Linked DNA regions of Mus musculus: region 2 is reported to be linked to region 1. Evidence: microRNA targets listed by miRTarBase, many of them from high-throughput screens and not tested one by one. Region 1 holds a microRNA gene; the other region holds the end of a gene's coding sequence.

Evidence for each region. The annotated mature microRNA mmu-miR-322-5p reads CAGCAGCAAUUCAUGUUUUGGA and lies in region 1 at 4,329-4,350, shown strand. An mRNA with a match to its seed (bases 2 to 7 or 8) in the 3' UTR can be bound and repressed. Matches are read on the target gene's strand: a 7mer-m8 pairs with bases 2 to 8, a 7mer-A1 pairs with bases 2 to 7 and ends in A, and an 8mer does both.
Region 2: the mRNA of Irgq is a reported target of mmu-miR-322-5p. Seed matches in the 3' UTR shown: 7mer-m8 at 3,857-3,863, 7mer-m8 at 3,877-3,883, 7mer-m8 at 3,880-3,886 and 7mer-m8 at 6,276-6,282.

What each region holds. Positions count from the first base shown.
Region 1 is chrX:53,051,055-53,058,655 of GRCm38, reverse strand. Mir322 (microRNA 322) reads left to right here and starts at 4,307; the gene lies at 4,307-4,401. C430049B03Rik (RIKEN cDNA C430049B03 gene) reads left to right here and starts at 1,466. Exons shown (of 4, transcript NR_038185.1): 1 at 1,466-1,658; 2 at 1,887-1,998; 3 at 2,492-2,514; 4 at 3,166-5,544. It overlaps Mir351 (microRNA 351), which reads left to right and starts at 5,303; the gene lies at 5,303-5,401. Mir503 (microRNA 503) reads left to right here and starts at 4,602; the gene lies at 4,602-4,672.
Region 2 is chr7:24,531,564-24,539,164 of GRCm38, forward strand. It overlaps Irgq (immunity-related GTPase family, Q), which reads left to right. Exons shown (of 3, transcript NM_153134.3): 2 at 1-352; 3 at 1,703-7,037. The coding sequence ends at 2,924. Among named protein-coding and RNA genes, the nearest start is that of Irgq, 4.7 kb to the left of the region's middle.

The sequences.
Region 1 (7,601 bases):
GCTGGAGTAGAGGTTTAGCCAAGAGCTGCTAAGGCAACAGCCTCTCCTTCAGAGTCACGGAGTGAACGCGCTAAGTAGCTCCCACATAGCGCCTTGTACCCAGCACTCCACCTGCCCCTGTGGTCTCTTTTGGAGCCCGGGTGTGTAAGCTGCTGCAGGCCAGCGAAACCCTTCCCGTCCAAATCCTATCTGAGTTTACATCCCACTCTCTCAAAGATGTCTGCAACCCAAGAAAGGTGGGAAGAGAGACGCTGAGTTTATTTATTTATTTTTTAACATCCAGGCTCTATTTTATAAGGGATTTCTCCCAGATTTTTTTTTTTTTTTGAGTCTTTCACAAAGCTCAGACTGTCCTCGAACTTGCTATGTAGCCAAGGACGCCCTTAAACTTCTGTTTCTCCTGCCTCCTCCGAGTGCTGGACTCTACTGGTCCATGTGCTACCATGCCTGGTTTTTCCAGCTTTGTGTTATTGTGACGTTTTGCAAATATACAAGAAAGTTGCGAACGCGGTGCAATGAAAGACTATTGACTCCCCACCCAGATGCAACCTCATGTTAGCTCCTTGAAATCCATTCCCGTTCCCCCTTCTCTCTGAGTGCCTGTCTGGGTCAGCGGCATCATTTGAAAATCATAATCACTCTTATACTTCATCTCTTTACACTTAGGCACAGTTCTTGTCACCCTGGACACCCTGCTATTAACTTCAACACCGTTCTCATACCTCCCTGGTAAACAGCGCCGTCCCTAAAGATATCCAGCATACAGAAGAAAGACTCCCTTTCTTTCCCTACTCCAGACTCAAAACTTAAGTAGTAAAGACTTTCCTTCTTGGACTGGACATGTATAAGTAAACTGTCGTTCCCTGCCTCAGTGTCATGCCCACCCCTAAAGTGGACCGCCAGGACCTAAGGGAGTCCTCTACCTGAGGGAGAGTTTGGCAGAGAGGCCAGAGCACAGAAGACTCAACAGAGCCTGGGCACACTCGCGCGCCTAGCACTTCCCTTCTGCAATCTGAGGGTCCCTTGTTTCCTCATCCTGTTTCAGGCACCCCCAAGAAAAATAGTCCTAAGAGGCTTGGCTTAGCCGCCCTGTACCCTCCTGGTAGCCCCAAAGACTTGGGCCCTAGTGACTTTAGAGTGTCATTTGTGGCATGGGTCTTTGAGCTGGAGCTTGGTTGCTTCCCTTCCCGCTTTTCCCCTTTCCCCTTTCTCCCTGGTTTTTGTCTCCTGCACCCGCGGCTATGAGGCTCTCTGTACGTGGCCACTCCAGGCTCCCCGTGTCCTTCCCGGCCCTTCCTGGCTGCAGGCCAAGGCTGTGGCTCTGCGTGTCCGCACGGCCTCCCCCCTCCCCCCTTCCGCTCCGGGGCCTCCGAGCGAGCGGGCGAATGGTTGGGCGGGGCGCGGAGCAGCGCATGGCCACGCCCCCCGGGCCGGCTTTTTCTAGGGCTGCTGCGGACCACTGGGCGCTGGCTGCTCCCGCTCGCCTCTTGGGGTGCGCTCGGCTCCAGCCCAACTCCGCCAGCTCCGCCGGCTCCAGCACCGCTCCAACCCGATTCCAGCCGGATTCCAGCCCGATTCCAGCCCGGTTCCAGCCCGATTCCAGCCCGGTTCCAGCCCAGCTCCGTCCCGGCTCCGGTTCTTCTCCGCCACGCCTCTCTGTGAGCCCCTCGCCCCGCGAACCCCGGTTCCCCGGCTGTCCGTCCCTCTGTCCCTCGATGTCCCGCACCACCGCCACCTCGCGCCCTCCCAAGTCTCCGCGACTCGCTCTTCTAACCTCACAACCTCGCCACACCCCTCCGCCCTTTCTCTCTCGCTGTCCGTCTGTCTGTCCGCCTCCCCGCCCGCCTTTTCCTTCCTCTCTCTAGCTTCCCCGGCTTGTTTTCTAGGTCGACGCTGAGGAGCAGCTTCGCAGGAAAATCCCAGAAACCTTTGCAAAAAGCTTACAATGAAATTTAAGAAGTTCTACGATTTCGGCGCCATTTTCGAGTGGAGTGAGAGGTGACTTAGAATCTAAAAAAGAAAAAAACGAGGGGGAAGGGAACTTTTTGGCCCGCCTCCCCCCGCCCCCAACTATGTCTCTGGTCACTACAGACTGTAACAGATACGGGGATAATTCTCAAAAAAATGTTATGCGTCGCGCTGGGTGGGGTGTGGGGGTGGAAAGCGTGTCCGGGGGTCGTGGTGGGGGGAGGACAGATCTTTAAAATGTCTAGCAAGTGAGTGTGGCCAGGGAACTTCTCAGAAAGTGGACTGAGAAGAGTAAACGGGGAGGGGTGGGGAGAGAGAAATGAGTGAGGGGCGGGCAGCCTCAGGCTGTCAGCCTTGCCAGGGTGGGGAGCAACTAGTTTTGACAGACTGTAAATGGGACTTTGGGCCACTCATTTGTAAGCAGTAAAGAATGTCCTGGAAAGAACCGTAAAATTCGTTTTCCATTGTCTCTCGCTAATTAAAACTTTTCAAGGTTGTTTAGTTGTTTTTTTTTTTTTTCCAGTATTGGAAAAGTTTGGCTGGAAGGTGCGGAGGACCTGTGCATCATGTTTTGGGTGTGGGGGCGCATGGCATCTGCAACATTAAAAGACAAAACGTTCTCAACTGGGAAGAGAGGAAGAGGCTTAGTCTTTGGCTCTTAAATCATTTGGCCAAACCCTTCGCAGTTCTGAAGTGGGTGGGGCCATTTTGACCCGTCGTGGTTCTGAAGTGGGTGGGGCCATGGTAACCCTAAAGTATTGATTCTTTGTCTATTGTATCAGCGAATGACCCTCTCTAGAAGTGACCAGACATCTCTTTGTGCTCTCTTTTCGTAAGTAAAGTTAAGCCCAAGGGGAAATACACAAACCCAGGGAGTGAGATGGCTTTTTAAGGATATAAGTCGTTGTAGAGTGATGGGAAGAAAAGAAATGGATGAAGGATAATCTAGAGATGAATTTGATTCCAGTGTATTCGTTAACAAAATTATCTAGTAAGACCTTCGTTTTTGATGATGTTATCTCGAATGAATTTTGTTTTTATGAGTAGTCAACTAAGGAAATGTTAAATTAAGAGGAATTGCAATCTCTGATGTGACATTTGTGTGGGACATAAAGTTAAATTGGGAGAAAAATACGTATCTTTAAAGTATAATTGTATCTTTACTAAACACGGCTTTTCTCTCTCCTCTTTTTAAAGGTGACCATCGATGGTTTTTTCCTCCACAATTCCGTGTCCATGTAAAAATGACTTGTAATATAGCCAAGAAAAGACGGAATTTTCATTCCAACTTAAGGAGTGGGGCTGTTATTATTAATGGCTTTATTTATCATGACCTAAGCAATGCATATGTTAGCACTGGATCATTATCTGTTATGTTAGGAATTTTGTATTTAGTTTAATTACATACTCTGTATATTTTATTAATTAATTAAAAGGACCCAGCATTCATTGTACTAGTTTCGAAAAACGGACATAATTTTAAATGAGAATACAGGAAATTTGTATACAGAATGTTTTTTGCTTTCAAAGGCACTGTAGTTTTGTTGTTTTAGTTATTAGGTTTGTGGTTAAGGACTAAAGGATGGTTTTTGTGCTTTCCTGAATGCTTTGTTTAAACAAGGAAATGAATGTAACTTGTTGCTCATGTGTGTCCATTTTGAAAAGCAACAGTGGGAGCTGAGGAGAGCGCACAGTGCCGGCCATTTCAAGACAAGATTTTCAGTGGCGTGGCTTAAGAAGGAGTGATTTGTATTTAACATCAAGTATTTAAGGATGTCATTTATTTAAAGTTCTTGATTTGTGATTTGATGTCGATGGTAACAAATGTCTTTATAAATAAGCTTGAGTAGCCAGCAATGTATGAGAACATCCAGGAATGTATGTTTCATCTAGAACATTCTCATGCTTTGTCCTTAAAAATAACTAATGACGAGGTGATTACTGTAAGAACGGAGGAAACTACTAGACAAGTCTATTCCATGCCTATAGTATTCAGTAAAACCAACTGGGACTACCCAGAGGGATTTTTTTTTGATTATCAAAAGTTCCTTGCACCAATTTCCAATAAATGATCAAAACCCGGGGACAATAAATGAGACTTATACAAGGTAGCAGGAAGTTTCACCAAGACTTTGGAGCTGGCAAGAGTGATCCAGATGTTACCAAATTGTCTCAGTTTATTTAATCCCACTTTTCATCTACTTTCTGAGGTAAGAGTCTCCTCCTCCCCACTATCCACCACACCCTGCTTTCCAACAGTACACCCTTTGCCTCACCAGCAGATCCTGGAAATCACAGAGACTTTCTTCCTTCGCAGGTACCCCAGAGCGGCCCCCACCCTCGTTGACTCCGAAGGGCTGCAGCAGCAATTCATGTTTTGGAGTATTGCCAAGGTTCAAAACATGAAGCGCTGCAACACCCCTTCGTGGGGAATGTAGAAGGTGGGGACCTGCTGAACAGACCTGTGTGGGTTCTACTAAAAGCCCTAAAGCAGGTAGGTGGGAGGGCAGGGGCTTAGTCTAGTGAGGGTCACTCTACACAGTCCAAGGGCCTGGGTGGGTGTGAATAGCAAGGTGGCAATTCACTTGAAGAAGGGACAAGGCATCCTGTACTCAGCCCATCCCACTCAGTCGTGCCCTAGCAGCGGGAACAGTACTGCAGTGAGTGTTTGGTGCCCTGGAGTATTGTTTCCACTGCCTGGGTAAGTCTGGGTCTTCCACATGGGCACACCCACCAGGTAAGTTTCGGTTAGCCTGCAGCATAGGCCCCATGGGAGGGAGACTCTAGAACAGCTCCCAACTAGAGTTGCTGATCTGTGACTCTGACTGGGTGTGACTGAAAGTGTGTTGTTAGCGCCTCACTTGCTGCTCAGGTAAAAGTGAATCAACTGGGAAAAAAAAAAAGCACTTCCTGGTCATCAAGTAGTATACCACCCACAAGAGCGAAACAAGAAAATTTGTCCTAAGTCCTCAACAACAAAATGGAGAAGGGGTCCTTCCAAAAGGAATAAGAAGGGTTCTGAAGGGCAGGAAGGATGACTTGAGAAAGTCCCCATTTCTCTTTGCAGTTTAGGAAAGATTAAGGGGTCCGTGGGAGTGTCCCTGGATCTCTTCGTGTCTTGCTGGTGCGGACCCCCAGGTGGTACAATGAGAGGCAATGGCCCAACAGGAAGCCTCAGTGAGGCTCTGCATTTCTAGTCCCCATTTATCCCCCTTTCCCAAAGTCATCACACAATTCTACATGGCAGTGGGGACATGGGGACACCCTTGTCACTGCCTAGAAGTCTCTGAGAAAATGGCTGCTTTGTGACATCCCAAACTCTGCTGTGATTAATCATGGCACCTCCGTTTCCCTGAGGAGCCCTTTGAGCCTGGAGTGAAAAAAAAAAACAGGTCAAGAGGCGCCTGGGAACTGGAGAAGAGTGTTAAACTTCTGGAGCAAGACTGTACTTTTCCTGTGAAAATCACTTTCCATAATCTGGAGTATAGGCATGTAAAGGACTGTTGGAAAACGGAGTGTGGGTGAAATCGTGCTGCTTTGTCTTATTAAAAAGAAATAAAATACATGTACACACACCCTTCTGGTCTGTATGAACTGCTTGTCATCTTCCCCAGGGACTGGGTGCAGGCCCCCATAAAAGGTACAGTTAGAGGAGGCCTTGTGAGCCTGGGAGTCTAGCTCTAGCCACCAAATGCCTTTCTCCCAGACTCCTTTGCGTTTGAACAAGGTGTGGGAGGTGGTTTGGGTCCCGTTGGGCCCCCAAGGACCCCCTGGCTCCCAGGAGCACTGAAACCCCTTGGAACTTAAGCCACGCCTTGCCCCCATCTCCTTGGCTTCTTGAAGCCACGCCCCCCAGCTCCTGCCTCACCCCTCCCCTTGGCAGGGCCCCTCTGGCCCGGAATCCCCAAGACAAATGGCTAACAGGTTCAGGCGCCCCGCGTTCCTATGCGCAGGGTTGGAGGAGGGGCACTTTGAGACTTCCTATTCTCCCTCACCAACTTCCCTTCTCCATCTCCACTGTTCAACAGGGCTTTGCCTTATGCCAGAGGAAGAGCGCCGGGGCTCACTGAAGGCCCCCACTCACCCAGAAGAATCTGGCCTGCGCCATCTGGCTGCTTCCAGTGGGTGCCTGCAAGATTCAAGTGAGATTCAGGTGGGTTGGGGACTTTAGAGCAGAGGAGCAAATGATCCAGGTTTAAGGCCACTGACTAAGAATCTAAGATGCCATTAGCCCAAGGTGCCCAAGGGCGCCAAAATTGAGCTCATCCACATAGCACCTGGCTGCGTGGTGCCCTTTTTTGATTTGAAATGCTCTTCGCACCTTTATTTGCCTAGTCGAAGTTATGATGTGCTTCGATTTTCTTCCAAGGGCAAAATGTGAATAAAGCAATATTTTAGCCAAACACTTCTATGTCAATTAAGAAGATGGCAATTCGTTCCAGATTATAAATTCCCTTTAACAACTCCCTAAGGTATTCTTTTAAATTGTTTTTCAAACATTGCTAAATGTGCATGATAATGTGTGGGAGACTTGTATAAAGTGATTCAATTTATGGTCGGCTGATTAATTGATCCTCCATTACCACATTCAAAGAGGCACCTCTCCATTGTTTTCTCCGTTTTTTTTCCCCCAACACATGTTATTTGTTAGTGAGGAAGCTGTGTGCACGTGGCATTGTAAAAGGTTACTAGACAGACATGGCTCTTAAAACTATGAAAAGCTTAGCCTGGCTCTAAATCTAAACTCTGACATTTCTGTAAGTTGTAGGACAAGATATTCAGGTTATTGTGATACACTAGAATTGAACATAATTTTGTAACAATTTTAATAACAGGAATACTTCTGAAGGCATCTTCTGCTAGCCATATTGGTTTGGTTTGGTTTGGTTTTCCAACAAGGGAACACTACATCAACAATCTTGGGGATGTGGACACAGAAGACTCCTGTTCCAAGAAAGTACAATCATCTTTCAAAAACTGTAATTTATATGCGTTTTACCACACTAGATATTGAAAACCACCCAACTAGGGGGGTACAGTATATAACCAGTCACTAGTGTAATATTGTATACCTTTTTAAAATGTTATTGGAAAGTGTTTTATGATCTGTAAGTCAAATAATCCGGCCCCACCGTTTTCATTTTTCCTGCTATTCCCCCAAATCTAGGCTCCTTTGTTCCAGTTGGCATGTAAACTTGTTTTTTCCACCAAATGAGTCAGTCCTGATAGAAGCGTCAATTGATTTGAACAGATGTGTGTCAATGTTACTTGGAAAAACTAGATGCCAATAACCAGGGCCACAGAAAAAGTCAGCAAATGTAATTGTGTAAAGCATTTATGCATGCACGCAGACAAGGAGAAAAGTTGAATCCTAAACAGGAAAACATTTGGATACACTCCAGTGCTGGGAGACCAAATAATTCTGTGTTGCTTTTGATGTCCAGTAACATGGGCAACTGTCCAATTAAACAAACACCCAAGAAGGACTCTGCAATGCCCATTATTTTACTGATTATTCTAAAGCACCATACCTGTCAATCCATTGAGGAGGAGGGAACAGCAAGGGAAACATGATGAATCTACACGACATAAATTAATTAATAGGCAGATTTCCTGAGAGACGGTGCAGATTA
Region 2 (7,601 bases), not on the chromosome of region 1:
AGCTGAGTTGCCCACCCGCAGCTCCCGGGCCCTGGGCGGCGGAGGCCAACTTGCTGGTATTGGTGCTACCAGGATCTGAGGGGAGCGAGGAGCCCTTGACCCCAGCTCTGGGAGAGGCAGCGCGAGCCGCCCTGGCTAGAGGAACCCCGCTGCTGGCTGTCCGGAATCTGCGCCCTGGAGATTCCCAGAATGCAGCTAAAGCCCGGGATGAGACTGCAGCCTTGTTGAACAGTGCTGGGTTAGGAGCTGCGCCTCTCTTTGTGCCGCCGGCGGATTGCAGCAGCAGTGACCGCTGCGAGGAGCTAGAGCGCCTGCAGGTGGTGCTGCGGACCCAGGCGGAGGCGCTGCAGAGGTGAGGGGACAGTTCGGGCTGGATGGGGTGGCCTTAGATCCAACTCAGCTACGGAGGTCTTTAAAGTTCTCGAGCCCTGTTCCTAGAGTGTTAGACGCAAGCTTTTCTTGGCTGCCCATTCGTCCATACCCTACTTATTTGCGTAGGACAGCACCCACCACACCCATGAGCACAGAGTTTGAGATCATGGAGACTCTGCCATAAGCAGGGATCACTTTTCTGTCGTTTAAAGCCTGCACCGTCAAGGGTCAACTGGAAAGCCCACCACAAAGGTCCTGTTTCGTGCAAGCTCTCTGGCATCACAAGCCCAGATATATATATATATATGCAAATACTTGTGTCAGACAAGATGCTGGACTCCCATCTCTCGTAACATTTGAGATCCCTCTCCAGCACTCCCATCCTCCTCATTGGCTTGGTTCTCAAGTGACTCCCCTCCCATCCTTCCTTTCGTTAACACCAAACCTTTACAGAGCATTATTTCCGATTGCTCGCCCTGTTCTTCCATTTCCAGTTCCCTCTCAGTTCTACCCTGCCTACTGCCCGCCAATCCACCCAGCCCCTCCCCACCTGCCAGCTGTCTCATTTTATGGTTCTCAAAATGCGACTCAGGAAGGGTCTGCATAAGTTGGAGAGCTGCTTCTCATTTGTTTAGTTAACCTCGCTGGCCCACCAGTACTAGATGAGGTCTCTCTTATTTACATCCACCCTCAGGGACACCATAGGCCATACTGAAATTGCCATTATGTCCTCGCCTTCCTCTAAGCCCCACTCCATAGAAAACGTGTCCTGACCAGCACACCATTGGAAAAGCTCTGACCCCGATCTCTTGATCTGTATCAAGAGAAGTCCAAATAGGGTCCTCATCGTAGTTTCGGTTGGAAACCTGACCTTAGGTTAGTTTACCCGCGGGACCTCTAGGGGACTTAAGCTCTTCCCTGAACTCTCTTAACTTTATGGTCCCGCCTCACCTGGTTTTTTTTTTTTTCTTTCTATCTTTCTTTCTTTTTTTCCTTTTTCTTTTTTTTTCTTTCTTTCTTTTTTTTTTTTTTTTTTTTTGAGACGGGTGTTTCTCTGTATTTCCAGCTGTCCTGGAATTGGCTATGTAGATCAGGCTGGCCTTGAACTCAGAGATCTGCCTGCCTCTGCCACTTGTGCAGAGATTGCAGAGATTAAAGGCGTGCGCCACCACGCCCGGCCGTGCCTTCTTTCTATGTGCATTAGTTCCCTACTTAAATTCTTGAGATTCAGAAAGATTTTTTTTTTTCCCGTAATTGCTCGTTCAGCCCAGCTTTTCCTACTTTTAAAGCTCTGTTGCCTTTGACCGATCTCCCACCCTCTCTCCTGCAGGCTCCTGCCTCCTGCCCAGGATGGCTTCGAGGTGTTGGGCGCAGCCGAGCTGGAAGCTGTTCGTGAGGCCTTCGAGACCGGTGGCCTGGAGGCGGCGCTGTCGTGGGTGCGCGCTGGTCTGGAGCGCCTGGGCAGCGCACGACTGGACTTGGCGGTGGCCGGCACCACCAATGTAGGCCTTGTGCTAGATATGCTGCTGGGGTTGGATCCTGGAGACCCAGGTGCTGCGCCTGCCTCAGCACCCACTGGGCCCACCCCTTATCCTGCTCCAGAGCGCCCCAACGTAGTGCTCTGGACCGTTCCCCTGGGCCCCACGGCCACATCTCCTGCCGTCACCCCTCACCCAACCCACTACGATGCCCTGATCCTTGTCACCCCCGGGGCTCCCACAGAGGAGAACTGGGCCCAGGTCCGCTCATTGGTGTCCCCAGATGCTCCACTCGTCGGTGTGCGCACGGACGGCCAGGGCGAAGATCCACCCGAGGTTCTGGAAGAAGAAAAGGCCCAGAATGCAAGTGATGGGAACTCAGGGGATGCACGCAGCGAAGGAAAGAAAGCTGGCATCGGGGACTCGGGGTGCACTGCCGCTCGGAGCCCGGAGGATGAGCTATGGGAGGTGCTGGAGGAGGCGCCTCCGCCCGTGTTCCCGATGCGGCCCGGCGGTCTCCCAGGCCTCGGAACCTGGCTCCAGCACGCACTGCCCACAGCTCAGGCCGGAGCTCTGCTGCTGGCGCTGCCACCTGCAAGTCCCCGGGCGGCGCGGAGGAAGGCGGCTGCGCTACGGGCAGGGGCGTGGAGGCCAGCCCTGTTGGCTAGCCTGGCGGCGGCCGCCGCCCCAGTACCAGGGCTGGGCTGGGCTTGCGATGTGGCGCTTCTCCGGGGACAGCTGGCCGAGTGGAGGCGCGCGCTAGGCCTCGAACCCGCGGCCGTAGCACGACGTGAGCGCGCCTTGGGCCTGGCTCCCGGAGTACTGGCAACGCGCACGCGCTTCCCGGGCCCGGTGACGCGAGCCGAGGTAGAGGCCAGGCTGGGGTCCTGGGCAGGTGAGGGCACGGCGGGAGGTGCAGCGTTGAGCGCGCTCTCCTTCCTATGGCCCACGGGTGGTGCTGCGGCAACAGGTGGGCTGGGTTACCGTGCTGCGCACGGTGTACTTCTACAAGCCTTAGATGAGATGCTGGCTGATGCGGAGGCGGTGCTGGGACCCCCAGAGCCCAACCAATGAGGTGTGCGGTGGGGCTTGGGGTGTCTGGTGACTGGTTTTGGCCCCACAGCCTCTGAGATTAAGAAGTGACGTTTTGTTATTCAAACCCGGAGACTTGAAGGAGACTGACATCTCGTTGAAACGTGAGATTTACAGTCACCCGATTTCCTAGGTACTGAATGGGAGTAGGGTCTATGCGCCAGAAGTGTGTCATCCAGATACCAATGCAGTAAAGGGAGTTGAGGGCCTGGGACTCAGTAGAAATGGGAGCTTCTTGGCGTCCCGCTGACACCTGGTCATGGATCTCTAGAAGCCTTGATCCCTGCCTGCCTGTGAGCGAAACTGCGGGGAGATAGAAGCCTTGGAGTGCTGGCTCCCAAAAGGAAAGAAGTATAAGTTACCTGATGAAAGAACAGATTTTTGTGGGAGCTGTGAGAGCCTTAGGAAAAGTCTGGTTCCTAAGAAGGCTGTGGTTGCCATTTCTTAGGTGGCAGGAAGCCCTGTGGAGACCAGGGGCCTGCTGGAGACCCTTTAGTCTCTTGGAGTGCAGAAGATTGTCAGTCATTTGCTCTCCAAAGCTTTGGTGTGGACGATAATGATCCACAACATTGAAGGGAAGGGACAAGGGAGTGTGTGGGTAAGGTTGTCTTCTGACAGCTAGAGCCTAGGAATGGGGTCTTTAGGGTATGGAAGATTAGAAACCCACACTTGGAAATACTTCCCGTGGGATCCTGGCAGCTGCCTCTCCGAGCTTTACTGGGAAGGTGTGACTACCCCCATTTTATAGGTGCTGGGTGATTCAGGGTCTCTGGCATGCACGCTCCTGTTTCTCTTTATTACTGGTTTCTTCTGTCATATGGACCTTAACTGCAGGGCCTCAAAGTGATGGGCTCCTGCTGTAGCAGTCTATGTGGTTTTTCTGCATGACCTCTTCTGATTTCTCCCAAGACACCTGCTGCTGGTCCACATAGGATGCTGCTGCTGTGTGTGTGTGTGTGTGTGTGTGTGTGTGTGTGTGTGTGTGTGTAGGGGGTCCCCCTCAGGATAGCTAGGTAGGCCTTTGATGCCGTGGGAAAGTGCCTGGAGGGAGGCATAGGCAGAAACCACATCGCTGTCAGTTTTGTAGCTTTGTGCAGGTAGGACCACGGGGTTCAGAGATGCAGGCCAAAGGCTCATCAACACAGCGGGACAGTGTGTGGCCTGGCCCTGCCTCTTCTCCATTTTCAGCCCATCTCCAGCAAGCCTGATGCCAAGGTCCCACCTCAGGACTTATGCATTTTCTGGTTTTCTGTGGGACACTCTGCCTCCCTGTCTTTTTTTGAGATAGGGTCCTCATCTGTCAGGTCTCCCCGAAATGGCTCTATGGTCACCCAAAGTAGCTTGCATTGATCCTGCCACATGGTAGTCCCTGTAGTGAACATTACTACCAATGGCTGTATTCTCATTCTCTCACTTGCCTGTTCGTTGGCTCTTGCTCCTTGCTTGTCTTTCTCTTGGGTGTACCCTAGCACCCAGAGCAGTGCCTGACACACAGTAGGTGCCTAGTATTTATTTTCTTAGTTTACTGGTCACTGGCACATGGCCTGGAATTCAGGTTGTCATAATCTTGTTACAAAGAGGGAGAGAAGCAAGCACCTGGTGGGAGAGCGAACGGTAGCAGCAGCTTGGCCGCTGTCACTACATGAACGAGGGCCATGTATTTTCACCTGGTCGATGAAAGGACTGGGCTAGACCCATAAGAGCTTCTGAGGGCTAATCAGAAGCCTGCACAGCTGGGCTTTGCTCCCATCTAACCCTGAACTCTCACCTCTGACACCATCCGCCCTACGAGGAGGCACCTTATTCGGGCGTTCATGCCTGTAATCCCCGCACCTCCGGTTGACACAGGAGAATTTGAAATTTAAGGCAGTCTTCGGTGAGAGAGGATTGCAGGCCTGTAAGCTATGCGCCTGTTCCCACTAGAGTCTAGACGGGCCTTGAACTCCACACGGTCTGGAGCCAGCCTGATACTAAGTCCTTGATGCTTGGGTTGGCCAGCTTTGGCCCTGCCTCAGCCTCCCCAGTGCCGGGATTATGACTCTAAACCATCCTAGATCAGCCTGACACTCTTTTCACTAAATCATCAGAACCAATGTGTTCCTACACCCAAGCACACCTCATCACACAATACACCTAATTGGAAATACTTGAACTGATCAATGGAGGGCCCAATTCACATACCCGTGTTTCAATTATATCGATAAGTTCCCCCCAATCATGGGGTTTTGATCAGTGCCTCACATATTAAAGGCAAACACTCTGCTGGAACCATGTACCTAGCCCTGTGCTGGGCTGCAGGTAGGGTTCTGGGCAGGGGCTCTACCACTGAGCCACGCCCCCAGCCCCTCACTGGGGGATTCTAGGCAGGGGCTCTACCACTGAGCCACGCCCCCAGCCCCTCACTGGGGGATTCTAGGCAGGGGCTCCACCACTGAGCTACATCATATTTCAAGACAAGGTCTCACTAAGTTGCTTGGGCTGTCCTTGAACTCACTTTATTCCAGACAGGCCTTGGAATTTGGGATCCTAACCCCTCAGCCTCCCAAGTAACTGGGATCACAGGCCTGCCTCACCTCCTGGCTTAGTAGTTTTCCCTGAACCTGTGATGTTCCAGTGGGTCAAGTACAAATAGAATCTGAGATGGATTTCCCCCCCCCCTCGGTGGCTTTATCCACATACTTGGATCATAGTTCAACAATACAGTCTATTGTGAAAAATCATAACAGCATGAAAGTGAGACATTGCAACCACATTTGGGAAGCTGAGAAATCTTTGTTTCACCCCAGGACCACAGCGCTATGGAATAGTGTTTCAAACAGTAGGTTTCCTCGCCTCATTTAACATAGTCTAGGCACTCCTCCACAGCCATGTCCAGGGTGAACGTAAATTCTGTCAGTTAATATTAACCATCACAGCAGGCATCTAAGAACTTGCTCTGTTACATGTGCACATGTGTGGCTAAGCATGCACACACTGGCATGTGAATGTGCTCACACACATACCCAGCTCCCAGGTACTGCAGCCCCCTCTGAGAAGCTTGACACTCAAATGCTACTCCTCTACTGCCTGGGCCCCACTTCCCTTGGTCTGGCTACAGTAACAGCCAAACTCGGTCTCCTATTAAGTGTCCTGAGCTCTCTAAACCCTCCATGTCTTTTCTGGTATTTTGACATAGCTTAGGCTTGCCTTCACCTCGGCATGTAGCTGGTGATGGCCTTGAAATCCTGATCCTCCTGCCTGCATCTCTCCAGTGCCAGGGTCAGGCACGTGGCATGATGCCCTGCTCTCACTGTGGCTTGCTTTGGTGCCACCTGGCATCCCCGTCCTGTGCTTTGCTGCTCTCCCTTCTTGAGGCAGGAGGCCCATGCTAGATGCATCGAAGGAGCATATTGTAGCCATTGTGTGTGTCCTGGTCAGCTCCATAAACTTGTACAGGGCACTTTTGTGTTTTGTGATTCCTTGCCCATTTTTGTTCTGTTACTTGAGATAGAGGATCCAGGCTGTCTCAAACACTTGGCGCCAGGTGCTTCTCCGGTCCTAGCCTCTCCTTGTCCTGGGTTACAGGTAGAGGTGGCTGCCTTTTAAACTATGATCTCCCACCCCCACCCCTGAGATAGGGCCTTACTCTACAGCTCTGGGCGTCTAAAGAGCTGGGATTACAGGTGTAAATGACTACATATGTTGCCCATACAATCTTTTGTTAGGATTTTCAGGCTTTTCCAGAATGTAAGCAAAGCAGATAGCCAGGCCCCTGGAAGCCTCCAAATAGGAAAGGTTCAGTCTCCCTCGTCACAGGCCACCTGCTGCCAGCAGGGTGCTCCCATGAGGCACCTCGGGTCTGAAAGAGCCTGGGCGCAGGAACTCTGGGAAATGTCAGTCCTCCATGCTGGAATTGCAGCTACACAATCTTGGCATTGCCCTTGAAAGACGAGCAGGTTTCAAACGTTGGTGAATGGATGAGGTGCCCTCCTCAACATGGAGAGAGTCTCACACTTCTGGCTCATGAAGGAGCTGTCTGTTGGAATGTGGGGGACAAATCTGTCTGGTAATCCTGTGGTGTGTTTTGGAAAAAAGAATAAAAGGGTAGGAATGCTATTATGTGTGTCTTCTATTTAATTTATTAATTTTAATTGTGTGGGTGTGTGCTGTGAAAGATGCAGTTTTCACCTGCTGAGCATCTTCCCTGCCGGGCAAGGTGGTGATTTTCAAATGCTTTTAAGTTTGTGATGGCCAAGCAGCTGAACTCTTGAGCCAGCGTGACCCACTGTCCCCCAGTCCAGCCTCTCCGTAGACAAGCACATGGATGCCCTCTCTCAGTCTGGCTCTGGATTTTAGCCACAGGGACGACAGCAAATGTGATGCAATCAGAGGCTTCAAGAGTGCGCATGAATTGAACTTCCTCTCTGCTATCCTTGGGCTCCCTGCTGTCACTGCCACACTGAAAAGCCTACAAAGCTAAGGGTTGGGAATGTATTCCCTTAGAACCTCCCAGTGAGGGGCTGGGGGTGTGGCTCAGTGGTAGAGCTCCTGCCTAGAATCCCCCAGTGAGGGGATGGGGGCGTGGCTCAGTGGTAGAGCCCCTGCCTAGAATTCCCCAGTGAGGGGCTGGGGGCGTGGCTCTGTGGTAGAGCCCCTGCCTAGAATCCCCCAGTGAGGGGC